2 linked regions of the Neurospora crassa OR74A genome follow. The protein of the gene in region 2 binds, or shares a complex with, the protein of the main gene of each other region. Links are inferred from orthologs where the notes say so. Each region holds a gene or a part of one and is shown on either strand. Other genes may lie near its edges. The genes, in order: NCU02605 and NCU01772.

Region 1 (3,030 bases), on a different chromosome or scaffold from region 2:
AGCCACTACGCCAATTTAACTTGCCCAACGTTTGGGGGCGCCGGTTGATATTGAACACTTGCTGGGATGGATTCGAGACCCAACGACACTGATCCGGCGGTGATCAGCTAAAAGATATGGAAGACTGGATGGGGAGACGAACCAAAGGAGACTAGAGATATTGAAGCAAAGTGGCTACTACACAGATATGGTAAGATCACTTGAGTATGAACTTCATTCTTTCCTACACCGTCTTGGAAATGAGAACTTACGTGCCATCACTTGTACGGACATGAATGGTTGAGGGAACAGGTAAGTCGTAGACTGACCGGCGATGCAAGTCTACGGCTGGTGGGAGGGTAGGTCCATATCGGTAAAGACAACGTTCAAGTTTGTGACAATCCGAAAGCTCATTTTTCGGAAGTATATTTGCTACCGATGAGCAACGCAAAAGCATCTCTGACCGAGTGGCGTCCAAACCGGGCCTAGGAACAGGGCCAACGCTCACTTCGCTGCCACATACATACAGTTCGAGTCACTGGACACGGGCATGGGTGAACCAATTATCAGGAATTCGGATGTGGAAGCTACACAGATGAATAATTCTTCATAAAGAGAGAGTTGACCGGGCGCTGAATTTGAAATACTTTTGAAAGATATGACGTTCAGCATACTCATCTGAGCGAATAGCGTAGGCTACCCCAGTCTGTACCCATGTTATAAACTGAGACGTGTGATTTAGAAGGCCGTGCTACCTTTTGCGAATGTCTCTTGTTCACCAGCGCCATCATCCCTTGCACTGGCTTGATGCCCCCACAAATTGTAAGGACCATCCAATCCGAGCGTCGCTTCGTATTCGATCGGTCCAGCCCAGCCGAAGCGGTAGACTTTTCCACCATTCCCAAAAGACATCCGAACCCGAGGAGTTGGAAACCACGCAGGCGAGCATGACGGCTTGTAAGTCGCCAATGTAGATAACCAGATGTGGTTGGTTATGACACATCTAGCCACACGGAGCAAGTACCACGTTCCGGCTAAAGACAATGGCTCTCCGTGGTACCACAACCTCTCAACTGTAGTTGCAAACCGAAAAGGTAGCCTGTTGTGTCTGGCCATGTTGCTCCGGTAGACCTAACCGCCAACAGAACTTACACCAGAAACAGTTGTCCCAAATGCACCTTGACGCCACAGGTTCTAACCCAAAGAAAAGCACAACCAAATCAAGCTCTTGCTTTCGGCCTCCTGGATGCGAGACCAGGGCCGCTTCTATACCCTGCCCGGTACAGTTGTCTTAATACTCCCAAACGCCTAATGATCATGCAGTTTTCTCTTCCCGGACGATAGAGTGGTCGGCTTTCCCGAATAGTTGATGATGAATTCTTCGACCGCTCGGGCATATTACATCCCCTGTTCCTCATTGCGTGTCTGCATCTCGATCTTCTTGACGTTGCGACCATCGGGAGTATACCTAGAGCGTAGTCAGCCACCAAGGTCCAGCGCGGCGAGTCCACAAGAACGTACTTGAGAAGCTTCTCGATGAGGTCGACGTGGGTCATGACCATGCGACGGCAGCAGTAGCGCTTGAGGCCGAGCTGATCCAGAGCATCACTAATCATCGTCTGTCAGTTGTTGTTATTTGTAAATCGAAAGTCGTTTGTAGATGTCGCATACCCATCGGTGATCTCCTCGCCATCGATCAGCTGCAGGTATCTCTCCCAGAGATCACCCACCACCTATGTGCCAAAGTCAGTAACCTTGTTAACGGGTAAATGGCGGAGGAAGCGGGGCGCGTCGCGTCGCGTACCTTGCCGCACGAAAAGCATCGGATTGGAATGATCATTTTTGTTAGCGAGTCGAAAGCCTACAAAAAAGTGTTTGGCGGGATGGCGATGTTCGCGGCAGATGAGCGACCGGCTTCTGGCAAGATGGTGGTGCAAGATTGGTCGTAGTGACGGTGCAAGTTTCAGCATGAACTTTGAAGGGCGAGGCGGCAACTTTACCTGTGAGGTCGGAAGGCCCCAGCAAATTTGACTTTCTAGGGTCTGATTGGTCACTTCAGCCTTATCACCGATAAGAAAGCTGCCCCACATTAACTTTTCGAAGGGTACTCCGCCAAAATTTCTTCTGCTGGGAGGATGAGGCGGACATGAAGCTCGGTACGACAAATCGTGTGTTCCTTGCCAGACTTGCATCGTCATATACTCAAAGGACAAGATGGTGGAGCTACGCACTCCTCGCAAGACCTCGAAGGCGCCCAAGATGGATGCGAATGGTGAAACTGCCTCGCTCAAGAAGAGAAAGAGAGAGCCCAAGGAAGAGACGACCGCTTCGCAAAAAAGGCAACGATCGAAACCAAAGACCCAGCCTGCTGCCGCCAATGGCAATGTTGACGATACTACCGACTCCCAAGAAAGCACCCTTTTCGAGAACAAAGACTTGCAAACGACCAATGGCGATTTGGAACTTACGGATGCTTCGAATACCTTGACGACGCGCAACACATCGGCATGGAAGGTATCGAATCCTATGGGCGGCCGCATGCTCGACATCGATCCCATATTTTCCTTGGATGAACGGTTCGTTTGAGACCAGTCCCCCAGGCAGGGGCTCTACTAATGCGACTTAGATACCTCCTTATCACCTACAACACATCAATTCAAGTCTATTCCACCGAGGATTCCCTGCTCGTCAGGAGGATCTCCCTTCCCATCACCAAGCTCGACAGCGGCGCCGAACTTTCTTCTCCCCACATCGTTGCGTCTGCGCTATCCGCCAGCGCACCCGAATTCCTCTGGGTTGCATGCTCAGATGGCCGCATCTGGCACCTTAACTGGGCGACAGGTGAAGGCGCCGAAACACCCTTCACGATTGACGTCAAGAAAGTCCTCGACATGACCGTCGAATCGGTTGATATCCGCGACAAGCAAGAAGATGTCCTGTTTATTCTCCAGAAGTTGACCAAGTCCTCGGCGCAAATCGTGGCCTACGACCTCAAGGCCCTCCGTAAGAAGACCGGCAAGCTTATCCACACATACGACGAGAACCCGCAAT
Region 2 (3,922 bases):
CTTCGTTGACGATGATACCGACGACACCCTTCTGACCGTGACGGGACGAGAATTTGTCACCAAGTTCCGGCCTACGGGTCTGGCGGGTTTGGACCTTGATCAACTTGTTCTCGCGCTCGTTGACCGAAATCATGACCTTGTCGATGATGGCGGGGTCGGAAATGCGGTAGTTGGTTGATGCGTCACGGTAATCGTCTGACCCACGATCGCCAGCGATTCCAGTAGAGATCTGGTCCAACGGGGTCTCCTTCTTGATCATCGTTTGTCCGGATTCAACCTTTGAGCCCACCTGGGCCAGGCCATCGGCGTCGAGGATGGCGTGCTTAACAATGGGCTTGTCGTCTTCGTCCTTCATGATACCGCCAACCCTGTCGCGGCGCCCATTCGTATAGCCTTGCAATTCGGCGGTATACTTGCGGAACACTTGGCAGCGGCCGAATCCACGATCTAGAGAAGCCTTGTTCAGAACAAGCGCATCTTCGATATCGTAGCCAGAGTAAGACATGACAACGACGGTGGCGTTCTGTCCTGCCGGGAGCTTGTCGTAGTGGATAAGTTGAATCGTCTTCGTAATGACCATTGGTCGTTGGGGATAAACAAGGGTATAAAGAAGGGTATCGATTCTGTTGAACTGATTGTAGGCAATAGCACCAATGGCTTGTTTACCCATGGCGCACTGGTAAGTATTACGGGGAGACTGGTTGTGATGGGGAAAGGGAATTAGACCAGCGACTGCTCCGAGAATCGTGAACGGCTCAATTTCCATGTGCGTAGTGCTGTTGGTGATCTGATCCTCCTGAAGCGCCACAAGGGTATCGTTCTCTTCGTTGACATCGAGATACTCAACCACGCCGCTGGTCAGGAAAGTGTCGAATGTCGCTTGCCCGAGTTGAAGCATCTTCAGGTGCTCTGCCTTCAACATGGATTTGCCGTTCTTGACGATGATGTACGGGCGGCAAATACGTCCTTCATCGGTAGCGATATGAACCGCCGAGAAGTGCTCGTTGATGTGGATGCTCACAAAAGGAGAGACCCAGCCCCGGCGACGCAAAGTTCTGAACCTGGCGGCAAACCGCTTTGGCTCCCTGGTCACAGCAAATGGTGTACCGTTCAAATGGATGATATACGAGCCTTTGCTGTGCATCTCTGTTCCGGTGTATTCTCGGATCGGTCCCACGCTCTCATCAGCAGCAAAAATCATCTTCTTAACTGGTTCCTCCGGCACATTCGTGGTAATGTGTGTCATGAGTGCCAAATTCTTTACCAGACCACAGGCTTCACCTTCAGGTGTATCAGAGGTGCAGAGCATACCCCACTGTGAGGGCTGTAGGGCTCTTGGACCGGAAACCTTTCTTGTTTTTTCGAACTGTGAGCTGATACGCGTCATCATACCCAGCGCAGCGATATAACTGAGTCGGCTGAGCACGTGGGTGATACCGGCTCTGTTCATGTTGAAACGCTTGACCGTCCAGTTGCCGCTCTGAATGGCGCGGTTAAGACCGTGAGAGATATAATGGCCGTTAGCCATGATCGCACCATGGGGATCATACGTAGAGGTACGGTTGGGTTTCTTGAAAAAGTTGTCAATGTTGTACTTGACGTCTGAAATGAACTTTTTGAACAAGTCTTCAAATAGAAGGGAGATCAACTGTCCAGCCAATTCCAATCTCTTGTTGCCGACGAAATCTCTGTCATCGACGAGCTTGGGATTCTGAGCTGCCATCAGCACGCGGCGAACCATCATGGCAATGTAGACGGCCTTGGGATAGAAGTCGAGACCCTCAACAGTAACGTGCGCGATAACTAAGTTCGCAAGTGCGTCGAGACCTTCTTCAGCATGGTTTCTTCGAGGAGCGGCACCGAATTTGGGTCTGTTACCGCCCATCTTGACTCTAGCACCAACGTATTCCAACGCTTGTTGTTGTGTGTAGACACCAGCTCTTCCGGCTTCATCGAAGTTGATGAGGAAATCGTCCTGGTAGCGCGCATCGCCACCGCAAACCAGCTCGATGATGTCGTTGTCGGAAAGACCACCGAAGGCCTTGAGAACGATGACGATGGGAATGGGCTCGGAGAGGGTGTTGTGCTGCAGGACAATCCGGTCCTTCTTGAGTACGACGTAAGTCTTTGACTTTCTCTCGTGTGTGGAACTGGTAACCGAGGCCATGACTCCGCCGGTCTTCTCGTCGGCCTCGACAATGATACGGTTCTTGCTAAGCTGTTCCTGAATCAAGATGACCTTTTCGGTTCCGCCAATAACGAAGTAGCCACCAGGATCGAGAGGGCACTCGTTGAAGACCTCCATCTGGGCATTGGTGGCGCCGTTGAGGTAGCACTTTGCGCTCTTGAGCATGACGGGAATGCGGCATAGCGGGATGTTCTTGCGGACGATAACGTTCTTGTCGCGGGTGTAGGCGATGTCGACCTCGACGGGGGCGGCATAGGTGAGGTCGCGGAGACGGCACTCCATGGGGGTGACGGGGTTTCGAGACTGGACTTGTTCGCCATCTTCGGTGCGGGTGGGCATGCCGACGCGGATGTCTCTGAACTCGAGCCAAAAGTTGGGGTCCTGGTCGCTGCGGACGACGCGGTTGGCCCTAACGATGTCCTTGATTTCCTCGTTGACGAAGTAGTTGTACGAGTCGATGTGTTGCTTGACGAGGCCCTTGACCTTGAGGAAGGCCGGGACAAGATGGAACTTGTCCTGCGTGGTCGAGATGGGATCGGTCAGCTTCTTGCCATTGTAGAACGGCTCCAGCAGGGCCTCAAAGCCATCGTCGAGAGCCGCCATCCTTGCATGTGCTAACTGCGGGTGACGGTTCGTCGTATCGATCGGGCCGGAGGAATGGAGGATGGCGATGATGGGCGCGGAACGACCGGGAATGTGTGTTTGGTTGAGAAGATACGCCTTGCAGTTGTGTAGGTAGATTTCGATGTGATTTTTGGCCCCGCGGCAAATTGATAAGGATTAGTTGCGATAAACTTTTTCTACGGGCTGGCCGCTGCCATTTCTTGTTAGGTCAGTAGAGGTAAGCCGCGGCTGGGGCGGTGGGGGACGACGGGGCGGGAGTGGTCTGTGCTTGACTGTTAGTGTGTGTAGTGCACTACACTAGAGGTAGTGTTGTGGTGCGGTGACCGGTGACTGCTAGTGACTGCAGTGGTACCTAACTGGTATGCCGAGGCCAAAATTGTTAGCGCCCACGTTTTGGACCCCTGATTGACAGTTACATATACCTATGTAGGTTCCTTGTTCCACTTTTGGCCGTGCCCTCCACCTGTCGGGTACCTTTGAAACCTTTCCTTTTGCTTTGACTCCGGACCGTCACTTTGATGTTCGTGATAAGGAACCCCCGCCTCTGTGCAACTCCGACACATCTGCCTCCTGGTGGTAGGTTGTATTTACCTATCCAACTTCAACTAGCACAGCGATTTGAACAATTTGTAGCGGGGTCAGGCCAGCTAGGTAACCTCAAGATAGCTATGTATCCGTTCTGCTGAATCTAGCCGCGCCAAGCGGAAGCCGGGCCTTCGATCGACACACCAGTCAACAGGGGAGAGCTTCTGGTTATGAAATCACCTGCCGGGTCGTTCACTATTTCTCTCCTACCTGTTATCATGTTGATGGTCTTCTTCGGTCTTTGTTCGTTGATATGGCAGCCTTTGAATTGCTAATCGCATACAACGGAGGTTGATGTTATTCCCAAGTGCTGTGACCTGCTCAGGCTTCAAGAATCAGAGAAGGGTTATGCTTCTGGCTGACTATACAAACGTCAAAGAGTCGCATCACCGTTGGCCGTGTCTTACAGCATAGTGTAGGTAGGTACCCATCTTTTCCTAGGCCAGCTCCAGCAGGGTGCTACCTTGCTTGAATCGACCTGGAACCCAACCCAGCAGTGGGGCAAGATCCGAAAGAGGAGCAATT

Evidence for each region.
Region 1: the proteins of NCU01772 (region 2) and NCU02605 are in contact, whole or in part, in a cryo-EM structure (PDB 7Z0H), measured with the Saccharomyces cerevisiae proteins. The link is inferred for Neurospora crassa OR74A from reciprocal best matches to the Saccharomyces cerevisiae genes RET1 and RPB10. Residues at the interface, in NP_014850.1 of Saccharomyces cerevisiae: Glu168, Met171, Ala172, Asn175, Glu176, Cys177, Pro178, Ala712, Ala714, Tyr715, Asn716, Gln717, Phe718, Lys719, Thr729, Tyr730, Pro731, Gln732, Gln733, Met735, Asp747, Lys748, Leu749, Pro750, Gln753, Asn754, Ala755, Thr756, Ser776, Ser777; in NP_014853.3 of Saccharomyces cerevisiae: Met1, Ile2, Pro4, Arg6, Cys7, Phe8, Ser9, Cys10, Gly11, Glu32, Gly33, Leu36, Lys42, Arg43, Tyr44, Cys45, Arg47, Arg48, Met49, Leu51, Thr52, His53, Val54, Leu56, Lys59, Phe60, Arg62, Tyr63, Asn64, Pro65.

Annotation. Positions count from the first base shown.
Region 1 is NC_026501.1:2,876,403-2,879,432, reverse strand, and holds NCU02605 (DNA-directed RNA polymerase I/II/III subunit 10), read right to left. Parts: upstream 1,917-3,030; 5' UTR 1,820-1,916; coding exon 1,784-1,819; intron 1,713-1,783; coding exon 1,651-1,712; intron 1,588-1,650; coding exon 1,501-1,587; intron 1,448-1,500; coding exon 1,378-1,447; 3' UTR 569-1,377; downstream 1-568. Other genes in the region: NCU02604 (hypothetical protein), read left to right, coding at 2,194-2,555, 2,606-3,030. UniProt on the Saccharomyces cerevisiae protein: DNA-dependent RNA polymerases catalyze the transcription of DNA into RNA using the four ribonucleoside triphosphates as substrates.
Region 2 is NC_026502.1:2,490,330-2,494,251, reverse strand, and holds the start of NCU01772 (DNA-directed RNA polymerase III polypeptide), read right to left. Parts: upstream 2,978-3,922; 5' UTR 2,792-2,977; coding exon 1-2,791. UniProt on the Saccharomyces cerevisiae protein: DNA-dependent RNA polymerase catalyzes the transcription of DNA into RNA using the four ribonucleoside triphosphates as substrates. Second largest core component of RNA polymerase III which synthesizes small RNAs, such as 5S rRNA and tRNAs.